Astyanax mexicanus: one gene and its partner. The protein of the gene in region 1 purifies or fractionates together with the protein of each later gene. This does not show direct contact. Links are inferred from orthologs where the notes say so. Each region holds a gene or a part of one and is shown on either strand. Other genes may lie near its edges.

Region 1 (8,043 bases):
CAATTGCATATGAAATAAATCTATATATATATATAGTACATATCTATTTTTAATCTCCAGCTACTTCACTTCTGTGGCCGCAGTGGCCGTTTATGCGTTTATGATGATATGAATGTGTTGTATATATTGTGTGTAAAGGTATTAGATTCAGTTAAACTCTGAAGGTGGGGTCAGGGGTTCTGTACGCTTCGTTAGTCTGCAGTGATTAACTCGATAAAGAATGCACACTTCCTTTTTCAGCTCAGCAGATTCAGTGCAGTGCTGGTTGTTCAGTAACTTTAATGGGTGCATTGATTGATAGATAGATAGATAGATACTTTATTGATCCCGAAGGAAATTTAGCAATGCTAGTGCTAAGTTTCGGATAGAAATGCTGGTCTAGGCTTAAAGCAAAAAAAAATATTTAATAGCCTGTTATCCTAAAAAAAAGCCCACTGAGGAGAAAATAAGCAGATCAGCATCCGTCTTGTAGTCCTTCTGGGTTCCAAACTGTCTCCATCTATTGGTATTTTACCTCGTCTCTGTTCATGGAGCTTTTTAGAAGGAAGCCGATGCTGCAACACACTGTTAACACTTCACAAGAATGCACACTTCCTTTTCCAGCTCAGCAATTTCAGTGCAGCACTGGTTGTTAAGTAACTTTAACGGTTGCAATGTTTGCAATGCTTGTGTTGAATCTCTGATAGAAATGCTGTTCTAGTCTGGTCTTAAAGGAGAACTCTGGTGTAAAATGTACTTTTGTTGTAGTAAAACATGATAAAAAGTTCTTATCTTTGATGAATAGCACACCTCCGCTCTCCCACAGCGTTCAGAGATCCAGAAATTTTAACAGTTTATCCAACAAACACCCTTCAGACTGGGAGATACGGGGCATAATTTACCCTGATAAATCACTTTTTACACCGTTATCCAGCTCAAAGTAGCTCCACACCTCCTTACTAGAATCTGGAGAGCCCTGATATTTAAAACGAGGCATTAATAACTTAGAAAGTGCACAAAAAGAAGCTTATTAAAATCCACTGTTTACATCCCGTAACACTACTAGCTGCCGCCGCCATCACTGTACTGATAATGACATAGACATATATATACATAGACTCTGCATTGCATCTATAGAATCTATGTATATATATGTCTGTCATTATCAGTACAGTGATTGCGGCGCTCAGAGCTGAAGCTAGTAGCATTATGGGATGTAAACAGTGGTTTTTAATAAGCTTCTTCTTCTGCACTTTTTAAGTTATTAATGCCTCGTTTTAAATATCAGGGCTCTCCAGATTCTAGTAAGGAGGTGTGGAGCTACTTTGAGCTGGATAACGGTGTAAAAAGTGATTTATCAGGGTAAATTATGCCCCGTATCTCCCAGTCTGAAGGGTGTTTTTGGATAAGCTGTTAAAATTTCTGGATCTCTGAACGCTGTGGGAGAACGGAGGTGTGCTATTCATCAAAGATAAGAACTTTTTACCATGTTTTACTACAACAAAATCCATTTACACTATTTTACACAGGAGTTCTCCTTTAAAGGAACAAAATGTACTTTATTACAGCAAGCATGTAAAATAGATAACGGAGTCCAATTTCAAAGCTTTCTGCTTGAACAGAACCTACAGGGAAGAAAAAGCAAGTTCAAGAACGCTTTAAAGGGCTTTCAACACTGTACTCTGATAATAATTCGATCAGCTAATGTATATGTTTGTATAAGGTTGCGATGTATGCATTATTCTTGCAGCATTATAAACCAGCAGATATGGAGTTTATATAACTTTTAGCTTTTTAAACTGTTAGCTAGCTGCACCGTTATCTTAAAAAAAGACAATTGAGGAGAAAATGAGCAGCTCAGCATCCGTCTTGTAGTCCTTCTGGGATCCAAGCGATCTCCATCTACTGGTGTTTTAAACTATCTCTGCTCATGTAGAAGAAAGATTTTTAAGAAGATGCTGAGGCTACAGTACACCAAAGTTTACCTACGCTAGTGTGTTCCATACCTGGCAACCTGATAGAGGTAGTGGGCGTGGTTTAAGACTAAAACAGAGACAAACAGGTTTACACTCCATATTGAACAATTAATGGAAGAACCTCCTAGCTAAAGCTCTGCTGTCTGTGTGATGCAGGGGCTTAAAGTTAGCATTAGCTCTTTTACTGCTACTAAAAATTAGGTCAACAAAATTGATCAACTGATCACTGATCAGTTTCTGGGAATTTAACGGTATGTTTTGACTACAGGAATCTGAGCTTGGGCTACTTAACGCTACTCATTTATGTTACAGAGTTTAAATTAAAGTCTATATTTTTATGTCTGTACATCTAACATGTAAATAAAAAAACAAATAAACCTGGTATTGTTTCAAATCTATTTAAAAACCGATGGGTGGGAGAGTAGAATGAAGTAACTGTAGTAATAATCTGTGTAATAAATCAGGTTAAACTGTACCTGAACAGCTGTTTAGCTCAAATTAAAGGAGTATATTTGATAGCTGGGTCAGATCGAGACTGCATTACGTTCTCGTGTGGTGGGTGGGTCTTTAAAATGTAGCTCCTCAACCACAGACGCAGCTCCTCCTCTGTTGAAGGTGTGAACGGAAGTTTAACGGAAAATGTGGGTAAATTTTTGTACAAAATTAATTCTATAAAAATCTGTTTATCCATTGTACATGCGTTTTACTGTACGTAGATAAAAAAAATTAGTGACAGGACAGGGACACTTCAGGGGGCCAATCAGGTTTCAGCTTGGGCCAAAATGTCATTGTGGCCCCGTCCTTACGTAAAACTGTATCAAGCTTTATTAAACTCATATATTATGTAGATGTATTACACACAAAGTGATCTATTTTAAATGTTTATTTATTTTATTATTGATTATTATGAAGCTTACAGACAATAAAACCCAAAAGTCAGTGTCTCAGAAAATTAGAATATTATAAAAGACCAATTGGTACTTTTGGCAGTGTGGGCAGTGTGCCAAGTCCTGCTGGAAAATGAAATCCTCATCTCCAAACCATCACTGATTGGTGGAAACTTCACACTAGATCTAGTCTAAAGTAATTTCTTCTTTTATGGAGATGTGGATTTTATTTTCCAGCAGGACTTGGCACACTGCCCATACTGCAGAAAGTACCAATTGGTCTTATATAATATTCTAATTTTCTGAGACACTGATTTTTGGGTTTTATTGGCTGTAAGCTTCATAATCATCAATAATAAAATAAATAAAGGCTTAAAATAGATCACTCTGTGTGTAATACATCTATATAATGTGAGCTCCACATTTTGAACTATTAAAATAACTTTTCAATGATATTCCATACCTGTCAAGTCTCCCGTTTTGGCCGGGAAGCTACCGTATTTTACTCCTCTTTCACGCCGTCCTCCCGTATTATTATTTTCCCGTAAATTTCCCGTATTATATTAAAATAATATATATATATATATATATATATATATATATATATATATATATATATATATATATATATATTATTGAGGAGACAGGGCACTGACCGCTCTGTGTCTCTTAACCAATCGTGGAGCCGGTTCAAGGAGAAAGTCCCGCCTTTCAGGAGAAACAGCCAATCAGCTTGCAAAGGAGGGTCAGTGTGGGGAAGCCCCCCGTCGCGGTGAGTTCAGGCAGCTCGTCGGAGCAGCTGATGATAAAACCTATCTGTATATACAGCGATTTTTCTAAAAGAAATGTAACTGTAGGCTAATGGAAACTATGATGAGATTTTTCTGATAGCTGCTTAAAAATACTCATCTCCGAAATAAAACACACAGATTAAACCTTTTAAAATTATAAAAATAAAGTTTGTGACTCAGTTTAACTAGAAATTTGTAGAGGACCGAAATGAACTGAACTGATCAGGGGTGGAGTGATCAAAAGAAAGAAGTATTAATTAAAGATTATTAATTGTGTAGGCCCATTAGGACTAATTTTTACTGATGGAATATATCTGGTCCTTGTCCTTTTAGTAAAAGCTCATGATACTATTTTTTAGGTCACCTACAGTCATTTTGTAGAATTTGTGCACCCTTTGTTCAATTTTAAATCCATTAAATAAAAAAATATATATATCATATAAAAGAGTGCATTATGCCAAAAAAGCCAAGACATGAAATCTTAACTTTTTTTAAAATATCTAGATAAGGATTTTTAATTTGGCTGCATTAAAAGAATGACATATGTAGGATTGTCCACAACATTTCAGATTCTGATAATCTAATTGTAGTGTGTAAGTGTTTCACATGTGGTTATTTTAGATTTTTTTTAAACCTGTCTTAAAATGTAAGGGATACTGAACCTTCGTTGGGGATGGTGGGACGGCTTTAAGTGGACAGAGGAAAATATCCCTTATTTTTAAATCTAAAACTTGACAGGTATGTGATATTCTATTTTTTTAAGATGCACTAGTATAAAAATAAAAAAGAGAGCACTTCAGTTTCTGAATCAGTTTCTCTGCTTTTGCTATTTACAGGTTTATGTTTGATAAAAATGAACATTGTTGTTTTATTCTATAAACTACAGACAACATTTCTCCCAAATTCCAAATAAATTTATTGTCATTTAGAGCATTTATTTACAGAAAATGAGAAATGTCTGAAATAACAAAAAAGATGCAGAACTTTCAGACCTCAAATAATGCAAAGAAAACAAGTTCATATTCATAAAGTTTTAAGAGTTCAGAAATAATCAATATTTGGTGGAATAATCCTGGTGGTTTTTAATCACAGTTTTCATTCATGCATCTTGGCATCATGATCTCCGCCACCAGTCTTACACACTGCTTTTGAATAACTTTAAGCAGTTCAGTTTGGTGGTTTGTGATCATCCATCTTCCTCTTGATTATATTCCAGAGGTTTTTAATTTGGTAAAATCATTTTTAAGTGCTTTATTATTTTTTTCAGAGCTGTATAGTTCCTGTTTTTTGGTTCCTGTTGTTTGAGGGGGGAGTGTTATTGGTGCTGCACAGGGTGCTGATGATCAGCTGATGTGTTGGTAGTGCAGTACTGATTACACTCGGTTATTAATCTGATCTTTAGCCTTTAGAACCGTCCAGAACCCGCGGCTCCGGTTCTGATCGGCTCCGGTTCTGATCGGTGTGTGTGAGCGGGGTGTGAGCGGAGAGCTGTGCGGTAGAGAGATGCAGGCTGCGGGCGGAGTGCGGCTGCTGGCGCTGGGCTGTGTTCTGGTGCTCTCAGCGCAGCTCGCCGAGAGTAAGGTAAATAATCACATTTAATTATTAATATTAATATTAATAAACATTAATATACACTATCAGTTATTAAATATACCATTCTGTATCAGCGTCTACACCAGGATACCGTTTACATATAAACATCACTAGGCTAGCTACTGTACTTAGCTTCACTAGCTAGCGCGCTAATGCTAACTCTGTAGTTATCAGTGTAGTAACTAACGTTATAGCTATATGACAGCGGACTGTAAACCCAGTTAGCCAGCTAGCTTTAGCTAGATAATAACACTAACTCTGTAGTTATCAGTGGACTTTAAACCTGGTTAGCTTTAGCTTTAGCTAGCTCTGTAGTTAATCAGTGTAGTAACTTAACTAACTTATATAACAGCGGACTGTAAACTGAGTGACCAGCTAGCTTTAGCATTAGCCTTAGCTAAATAATAACTCTATAGTTTACCTGGTTAGCTTTAGCTTTAGCTAACTCTTTAGTTAGTAATGCAGTATATAACCTAGTTAACTGTGGGCTTTAAACATAGTTAGCTTTAGCTTCCTAAATTATTCTCCTTACTCATTTTTCAAGTTTTCCAGAAAAACTTGAAAAATGAGGTTTATAACGCTAACGTCAGCTAGTTAACGTTACACTAAATGTCATTTCGACAATTATCTTAAATAAAAATCGCCTTATTCTTTTATTTTTCACTAAAATTGTTATAGTAAAAAAACAAAAACATATATGACATGTTTTATTATCAGCTTTAGCTAGCTGCAGTTAGCAGTGTAGGCTAGAACTGAGGGCTTTTAACATAGTTAGTCATAGGTTTAGCCCTAGTTTTAGCTTTAGCCCTAGTTTTAACCCTAGCTGTATTGCTGGTTTTGGATTCAGTCCTAGTTTTAGACCTAGCTGAAGACATAGCTTTAGCCCTATCCATAGTTTTAGCTTTATTCCTAGTTTTAGCTTTATCCCTAGTATTAGCTGTATCCCTAGTTTTAGCTTTATCCCTAGCTGTATGCCTAGTTTTAGAGTTATCCCTAATTTTAGCTGTATCCCCAGTTTTTTACCCTAATTTTAGTCCTAGCTGTATTCCTCAGATTTAGCTTTATTCCTAGATTTAGCCCTAGCTGAATCCATAATTTTAGATTTAGCCCTAGCTGTATCGCTAGTTTTGGCTTTAACCCCAGCTGTATCCCTAGTTTTAGCTTCAATCCTAGTTTTGGCGTTAGCCCTAGCTTTATCCTTAGTTTTAGCTTTAGCCCTATCTATATGCCTAGCTTTAGATTTATCGCTTATTTTATCTGTATCCCTAGTTTTAGCGTTAGCCCTAGGTTTAGCCCTATCTGTATCCCTAGCTTTAGCCCTAATTTTATCTGTATCCCTAGTTTTAGCCCTAATTTTGGCCGTAGCTCTAGTTTTAGGTAGATAATAACACTAACATCAGCTAGTTACACTTACTGCCATATTGACACTTTTTTTACTTAATAATCTCCTTAATCTTTTTTTTCAAGGTTGTTCAGAAACTCAAAAAGTATATCAGGGTTTTTAAGGGAATTTAGATTAAGATTAGGCATTGTGCACAAAGGTACCTGGTACCTGAGTCCTATTCTTTTGGCAGTACTGTGATTTAATGTATTAATTAAAAGGATGTCTGCAGTTATTTGGATATGTAGCTGGTTGGGTTGGTTAGCTGATAAAGTGTGGTTATGTTTCTTTATCCGCCAGTAGTGCAGAACTCAGGTTAAAAACAAAACAAGGGGGCTAGGCTCTGCCACGATATTTACATTATCAACTAATTGTACAATAAATTGACATGACCTTAATAATATGCAATAATGGTGATTTTTAACAGTGAACAGTTTTTTGCCCTGCCCTTACCTGTGGCGTCTTGTGATTGATACACAGGGTTTAGATATTTCCCTTGTTAATCTTGTTTTTTTATGTTTCTATGTTGTTTTTTTACTCTGTTTCAGAACTCTGAAGACATACGATGCAAGTGTATCTGCCCACCTTACAAAGAGATCGAAGGACAGATCTACAATCAGAACGTTTCACTGAAGGATTGGTAATCCATTAAACACAATCTGAGAATCTGCTTTTCCACAGGGGATTAAATTTAGCTCTGGGCTGTTCAGAGAGCTGCACAGTGCAGTGAGCCTGACACGATAATTACTTTATTGATTTATTGTACACTATACCCGGCACAACCTTTGTCATTTCCGCTGAACTCAGAATTATTATTAATGTTTATAAACAGCCCAGATAGGGATTGATGGACGGAGGTTTCCGGTTGAGAGTACCGTTTTTTTTTTTTTTGCACTATAAAGTGCATTGTGCGACACTAGTAAGGAACAGGGGTGTCACCATTTTTTCCTACTAATTCAGCAGGTCTTGCCACTGGGTGGCGGATCTGTAAAGCTAAGCTTAGTTAGGTAAACAAAAAATTCCCTTCTAATTCTTAAATACAATAACAAATGCAGTAAATACATTTTTCTCAACTATTTTTTTTTCTGTAATACCTAATATTATATTTTCTTAGGATTAAATTCTCTGTTGTTACTGTTATGATTCCATCCTTTCCATCGTTCATTCCTACATAAATTCGAGTTTTTAAATCGTTAACGTAATTGTTGATTGGTTTATATTTAACATTTATATTCTTGTCCTCAGTAACTGCCTGCATGTTGTGGAGCCGATGCCGGTGGAGGGGAAGGATGTGGAGGCGTACTGTTTGCGCTGTGAATGCAAATACGAGGAGAGAAGTTCTGGAACCATTAAAGTGAGTTTCTGCTTCTAAAAACTAAGATTATACAGCAAGAAGTTCAGAAGTACATGTGTTTAGTGGAATGCATGCATTAGTG
Region 2 (7,197 bases), on another chromosome or scaffold:
CAACCACTGTTCAGTTGATCTGGTCCAAGACCACCTTTTGTGGACAGACCACCAAATTGTATTTCTTTGGTCTGGTCCAAAAATATGTGTAACAAAAAATGCCTCAAAAAAAAGTAATTACATTTCAAGATGTAATAATTAATAATTGTTAATAAATTATTATTTTTTTTTATTAATAATAAAATAATAAGGTAAAAAAGAAGGTAGTAAAAAAGGAAAAATAAATTACATAGTTATTGATTAATCTTATAGTTATAATCCATGGTAGATTATTGATGGCCAGGGTAATCTATTGTGGCAACCCTTCTAAAACATGCAGGGCGGAGGTAGTGCGGGTTAATGTTTATAATACTGTGTAAGCTTTCATTTTTTAATTAAGAAATGTAGAGCTGAATAGAACAGTCCAGTCACAACATGCTATTAGCATTATTAAATTAATAAACCATTTTAATGAACAATTACCTATCATCCTCTAGCATTATCCTTTCCTGCAATATACTGTTTTTATCAGTACTGCCCAAGAATAAGGCCTGGTCTGGTACAGAGAGCCATGCATCTACACACATCTACATCTCTTTGCCATATCTAACATAACAAACAAAAAAACCTTTGGCCAGATTTGCAGTTCATTGCCTTTCTTGTGCTTTATCTACAGGTGGGATTGTGTCGGTGTACAGGAAAGGTCACCTGTTTGATGTGGAGTTGGCGAATAGAGGTGTGTCTCTAAAAGAGAGTGCTTTCACTATTCCTGGGCCGAGTTTAGTGCCTCCTGTTGAAACACCCGTTGGAAAGGTACGGCAGTCGAGTCTCTGTATGAAGGTTTAAGTGTTTAAAGTGTTTGTGTTGTGTATTAACCAGCATTAGTATTAGTACCTGTTAAATGGTTCTATAGGTGGGACTGGGTATCTGTTATGATCTGCGTTTCCCTGAGTTGTCGCTGGCTCTTCAGAGGCAAGGGGCGGAGATCCTGACTTATCCATCAGCGTTTACTGTGGCAACTGGAGCCGCTCACTGGGAGGTGAGACACAAAGTTAAAACGAGTGTTACAGAAGCTTTATTGGTTCCTTGAGCTGTTTTTATTTGTTTTCTTAATCAGGTCTTCAAACAACAGACAGCGTAGGGTGGAATACAAAAATTACATAAACTGTGCGTTTATTCATGTTTTGTCATTTATTTAATCCACCATTGTTTTTATAGACATACTCCTTGTAGCATTTGGTAAAAATGAGTAATGTGTTCAATAAAAGCTATTTAATTCTGATACACAAATGGAATTGCTGTTCCAAACCTGAATACTGTGCTTCCAAGAGGTTAAAAAAATCAGTTTGACCAGAGGAGATACAATTTTACTCATCTCATTTTTTTTACAATCTTAAATATGCAATATTAACGGTATTAATTACTTATTAACGCTTTTTGACAGATGAATATCAGTCTTACATGACCTCCAAACATGGTTTGAGTAATCCAATCGTAATCTTGAGGGTCTTGAAGGTGTTTAGCCCTGGCGATCAGACATACAGGGGCATTTTCCCAAACAATGATTAAGCCTAATTGTAGACTAGATTTTTCTTTCAACTGAAAATCTCTATTCACAATCATGTGTAGTCCAATACTAGGCTTAATCCCTGTCTGGGAAACTGCACAGAGGTGAACTAAATTGATGCTCTAAAATATGCAGACTATTTTATTTTTGGCTTTTATTTTTTAACAAGTTTTATTCATATATTGTTACTAGAAAATCAACAGAATAAGTGATTTGAGCATGATTGCCCAAACTATTGCAAGAGATTCAGTGAAATGTGTTTAGATAGAGAAACAGCCTCACATTATTCTCTCTTGTTTCCAGGTGCTTTTGCGAGCCAGAGCCATTGAAACACAGTGTTTTGTTTTGGCTGCAGCACAAGTTGGAGCTCACCATGCAAAACGTTCATCATATGGCCATGCGCTAGCAGTGGATCCATGGGGTGTGGTCATGGGGGACTGTGGGGGGACAGAGGGTGGCGTGGCTTTGGTGGAGATTAACCTGCAGAGACTACAGGACACTAGAAGGGACATGCCGGTCCAACAGCACAAGAGGCAGAGCGAGTACTACTGTGGTCTGGATTAAACTGAGATGGACAGCGTATCTACAAAGGATGTTGAATATGGTTAAAGATGGAGTTGGGAATACCATGTAATTTTTTGTGGACCAGTTATGCATCATACACTGTATGTCCAGATGTTTGTGAACACCCCTTCTAATCAATGCATTCAGCTAATTGAAGTTAAACCTATTGCTGCACAGATGTGCAAATGCACACCCAGCTTGTGTAGTTTTTTTTTTATAGAAGTATTTCTAGAGAATATAACTCACTTGAGCAGATAAACTTGAACCTTTTGGCATCACATCTAATGCCAGACATGGGCTAGTGAAATATAAAGCCCTCAACTGTGGAGCAGTGCAGCTGTGTTCTGTGGAACGATGATGCCCCATCCAATACTTTTGGGATAGGTTGGGGACTTGTGAATGAAATGTGAATGGAAAGCTGAGACAGTTACTCCAACAAAAGCAGAATATACTCTTTTCACTGCGGTTGAATTTGTGAATGTTTTTTTTTTTTCAGGAATTTGGAGATAAATTATGTCATACACACCCAACTATGAATGAGATGGGATTTGGTTTTACATCTGAACGGTAGTTATAGTCCTGTGGGGGTTGATGCTTTTCAATAAAATATTATTCAGTAAAATGGAAATACTAATGAACAGATGTTATGACTTCCTCCCTCATAATCAATACTGCATGTTCAGCTCACCAACACCCCAGCATTCTTAGATCTGAGCTTCACACATTCAGTTCCCATTTTAGAAAGAGAAAGAAGGAGAGGAGGGGGAGGGAGGTAGAGATGTGAGACACAAAATAGGAGGTGGGAAGAGTAAGATGAGATGTAAAAGACATGGGACATGGAAGAGAAGGGGGTGAGGCAAAAGGAGACAGAAATAGAAGGAGCGAGTGAGAGAAACAAAGGATGCAGATGAAACTTAGAGAGTCAGAAGAGTGAGACAGGAAAGAGGGACTGATGTATGAGAGTATGGGAGACTGGAAGGTGAGATTGAGATAGAAAGGCTCTGGGAAAGAGCCTGTATAAGAAAGAGAGGTATAAGAGGTATAAGAAAGAGAGACAAAAGAGGGGATGTAGGAGAAAGTAAGACAAAAAAAGAGGAGTAAAGTAAGAGTGAGACTAAAACTGAGAGACACAAACAAAGAGAGGGGATGAGGGAGAGAAATAGAGAGGATGTGGGAGAGAGCACAAAAAGTTGGAAGAGAGACACTAAAAGGTAATGGATATAGAAGGCATTAAGAGAGATGGGAGAGTGGGACAGAAAGTGAGGGAAAGTGAGAGAAAGAGATGGGAGGGTGAGAGAGATGGGAAAGAGACACTGAAAAAAGATGGAAGAGAGGGGATGTGGAAGAGAGTAAAAGATGGGAGAGACAGAAAAGGATGAAAGAGAGGATGTGGAATGTAGAAGAGAGAGAGAGATGGGAGAGTGGGACAGAAATGGAAGGAAAAATGAAGAAAGTGATGGAAGATTAATAGAAATGGAAGGGTGACAGAAAAAGAGATGGGAGAGGGAATGTGAGAGAGAAAAATAGATGAAAAAGGATGTGGGAGAGAGTGAGAGAGGTGGGAGAGAGACAAAAAAAAGAGATGAAAGATAGAGGGGATGAGGGAGAGAGAGAAAAAGAGAAGAAACAGAGGGGATGAGGGAGAGAGTGAGAGAGATGGGAGAGAGACAGAAAAAGTGGTGAAACAGAGAGGGGATAAGGGAGAGTGTGAGAGGTGGGAGAGAGAAAAAGAGATGAAAGATAGAGGGGATGAGGGAGAGAGTGTGAGATGGGAGAGAGACAGAAAAAGAGATGAAAGATAGAGGGGATGAGGGAGAGAGTGAGAGAGATGGGAGAGAGACAGAAAAAGTGGTGAAAGAGAGGGGATGAGTGAGAGAGATGGGAGAGACAGAAAAAGAGATGAAATATAGAGGGAATGAGGGAGAGATGGGAGAGAAACAGAAAAAGAGATGAAACAAAGAGGGAATGAGGGAGAGAGTGAGAGACGGGAGAGAGACAGAAAAAGAGATGAAACAGAGAGGGAATGAGGGAGGGAGATAGTGAGAGAGACTGGGGCACACCGGAAGCAAACGTCACTGACACAGGAATGGGCTAAGATCATCTCAGCAGCAGCATCAGCAGCCGAACATGGCTTCTACTAAATCCTGAGAGGGTTCGTGTGTTATTAGTGTGATTATAATTTTAAAGTGGAGAAAGCATGGTGTGTTACCTCAGGGTCGGTTTCGAGGCTGTGTTATTCAGGTAAGGCGGCGCTGTGGGCTCGGCTGGGGTTGGTTAGTGTGTTTAGCAGCTGTTAGCTGTTAGCTTCTCCTCAGCTGCTCCTGAACTCTCTGAGGGCTTTTTTTAATGAAGATAACCTCGATTTTACACTAACCTTCACATCTAAAACACCTGAGTCTGATTAATGACCGGGTCCAGGAGCTCCTGAACACCGCTGGCTGAGTGTTTGTTTGTGCTGTTGTTTATGAAGCTAGTTGTAGCTAGGTTAGGTTAAGTGTTGTTGTTTATCTAATACTCGTTTGTAGCTAAATGTGACTTTCGTCCGCTCTGTGTTCAGTCAGGCCTCCTCGTTCACACAGGTGTGAAATATAGCCGGTTAAAACCCGTATTATAGCGTTATTTCTGTTTCTGTCTGTTTAATATGAAACGGTAACTGTTAACTATGTCGTATCGTTTTCATGTAGTAGTTAAGCACTGGAGTTACGCGGTTTGTCTTTATACAGGTGTTCCCTCGTGAAATATATTAATTCTTGAATCTAAACTTAGTAGTAGGTAGACGATATGGCCTTAAAAATAATATCACGATAATTTATGGAATTTTTGCTATAGCGATACTTTTAGCGATATGACAAAACACTGAAATAAAAAAAAGTATTTTAATAATACGCTACTGAAACAGAATGAAAATTACATTTTATTATTGCATATCACATGATATTACACACCCCTAACTGAGATATTAAAAAATATAAGTATTTTATCAGATTTCTAACAGAAGACAATGATCCAGAATGTCATGATACTAATAATGCACTGCATATATCCTGGATTAAAGTAAAATAAATGATACTGGACAGATATAATATGTCTCTAGTATATATATAACGTGAAATAAGAACAGTGTGAATTTTTTTTGTGCTGAAAACAGCAAAGAAGTAGTACCCTGATGTGATAATTAGGGGTGGGTGATATGGCACGATATTTCAGTTTATAATATCGTTCACGATATTCAAAAATGTTTATGATATTATTTTTTACAATACAACATGACACACCCCTTCTTAAAAAGCATTAAATGTATGTTTAAATTAGGTAAAAAGTACTAAACGTATGTTTTAAATTTAATATACCAATTTAATATAAAAATACACATTGAATATACTTTTTCTGTATTTTTCATAAAATGTATTTTTATACAATAGGCTTCAAATTATACAGTGTGGTGACCGAATATATAAATATGTTTTGGCGTTAAATACTTTAAAAAAAGTGCACTTTAGTTTTTTTCAGTAGCTTTAAAGTGTACACAATATGTGCATCAATACGCAAAGAAGTACATTTAGAACATACTTCAAGTGTATTAAAATTATGCTTAAGTTCGCAGAAGTTATACGAATTAAAATCACTTAAAAGCACAGCCTAATGCTTCTACGTTGTATTTAAATATAGCTGAATTACAATTGAAATATACTTAAGTTGCCATAAGTACGTATTCATTTTAGTGTTAAAAGTATGTATTTTTTCATGTTAGGTATACTTACAAAATATACTTAAATGCAAGGGTTGTTACAAATTGATAAGGTGCACACCTTGTTTGTTTTATCACACCTTGTTTGTTTTATCACACCTTGTTTGTTTTACCAAACCTTGTGTCTGTGTTTTTACGTTTTTACATAGATAATTGCTAGATAGAAGCCTTGTCTTCACTTTATTATGGAGCAACACATTTAAAACAAATTATTTCACACGTTACATAAAATACAGAACTTATTCGCTCATAATTACGTTTATATAGCACCTTTTTGCATTGAGCACTGAGGAGTTGACCCAGCAGAGAGTGCCAATCCATATCTGGGCATACAGTCATACATACTTACACACAGTGGACAATTTATTGGACTGTGGGAGGAAACTCACACAGACACAAGGAGAACATGGAAACTCCACTCAGATAGGGACTTGAATCCAAGCTCCTAGTGCTGGGAGGCAAATGTGCTAACCACCAAACCACCCTGCCCCTTACAGTGCTCTCTTAGGGCTGAGTGGACTAGTTCACTAGCTAGTTATCTAGTTTATAACACTATTTAAAGTTATTAAGACCAATTCTTTAAAGTTTCAAAATACATACAAATCTTAAACCAAGATTTTGTATAAAACAATAATAGTGTATCAAAAAAAAATTAAGTAATATAACCAGAAACGTCTACCATAGTGCAATCTAAATTGCAGGATATTTACTGATTACATATGAACTGCAAACAAACAAACAAACAAACAAAAGTAAATACAGTAAATGGCTTTCAAGAAAATAGTTGTATTTGCTTAAATCAATTTTATTGGTTTCTACTGTTTTATTTTCATTAAGACCACACGCAATGGACAGAGAAGATTAGATGGGGCCCTTTAGGGAGGTTAGGTCTTTCCTTCTGTCATTGCAAACTTTGTAAAGTGTAGAAAGGAGCTTTTATTTATAAAGTACGTCAGTAAGCAAGAAGAGGAATGGAGATGTGGTCTGTCCCAGTGTTCAATTTCAATCTCTTGACCCTATATCTAGAGTTGTTAATGGTAAAATGGTGGTGTATGTAAAATATAAAACTTTTTTCTTCACTGTTCTCATAATAAGTGAATCAGTGTTATAACTACATATACTTGGCCTAGTTTATCAGACTTTTATTTAGCAGGCTTTTTTCTTTACTTTACTAAAAAATACCTTACTTCCTTAAAATTATGGATTAAAATATGGATTTTGGGATGCATGGAAACGTATATCCTTCCTCATGATGTTTTTCGTCACTCATAAGCCACAGAGAGATGTAAAGTGTGAAACAGGCCTTACAGTAGCTAAACATCTGGTTCATGATGTGTTC

The links. The genes of interacting proteins can lie anywhere in the genome.
Region 2: the proteins of tmem9b (region 1) and clcn3 purify together in Homo sapiens (co-immunoprecipitation; 3 studies listed by BioGRID and IntAct, counting the BioPlex papers as one, with this or other methods). This does not show direct contact. The link is inferred for Astyanax mexicanus from reciprocal best matches to the Homo sapiens genes TMEM9B and CLCN3.

The regions. Positions count from the first base shown.
Region 1 is NC_064423.1:41,763,240-41,771,282, reverse strand, and holds the start of tmem9b (transmembrane protein 9B), read left to right. Parts: upstream 1-4,945; 5' UTR 4,946-5,136; coding exon 5,137-5,214; intron 5,215-7,155; coding exon 7,156-7,247; intron 7,248-7,852; coding exon 7,853-7,961; intron 7,962-8,043. UniProt on the Homo sapiens protein: Enhances production of pro-inflammatory cytokines induced by TNF, IL1B, and TLR ligands. Has a role in TNF activation of both the NF-kappaB and MAPK pathways.
Region 2 is NC_064415.1:14,066,078-14,073,274, forward strand, and holds the start of clcn3 (H(+)/Cl(-) exchange transporter 3), read left to right. Parts: upstream 1-4,173; 5' UTR 4,174-4,262; exon of another isoform or gene 4,263-4,351; intron 4,352-7,197. Other genes in the region: nit1 (deaminated glutathione amidase), read left to right, coding at 656-792, 893-1,018, 1,850-2,110.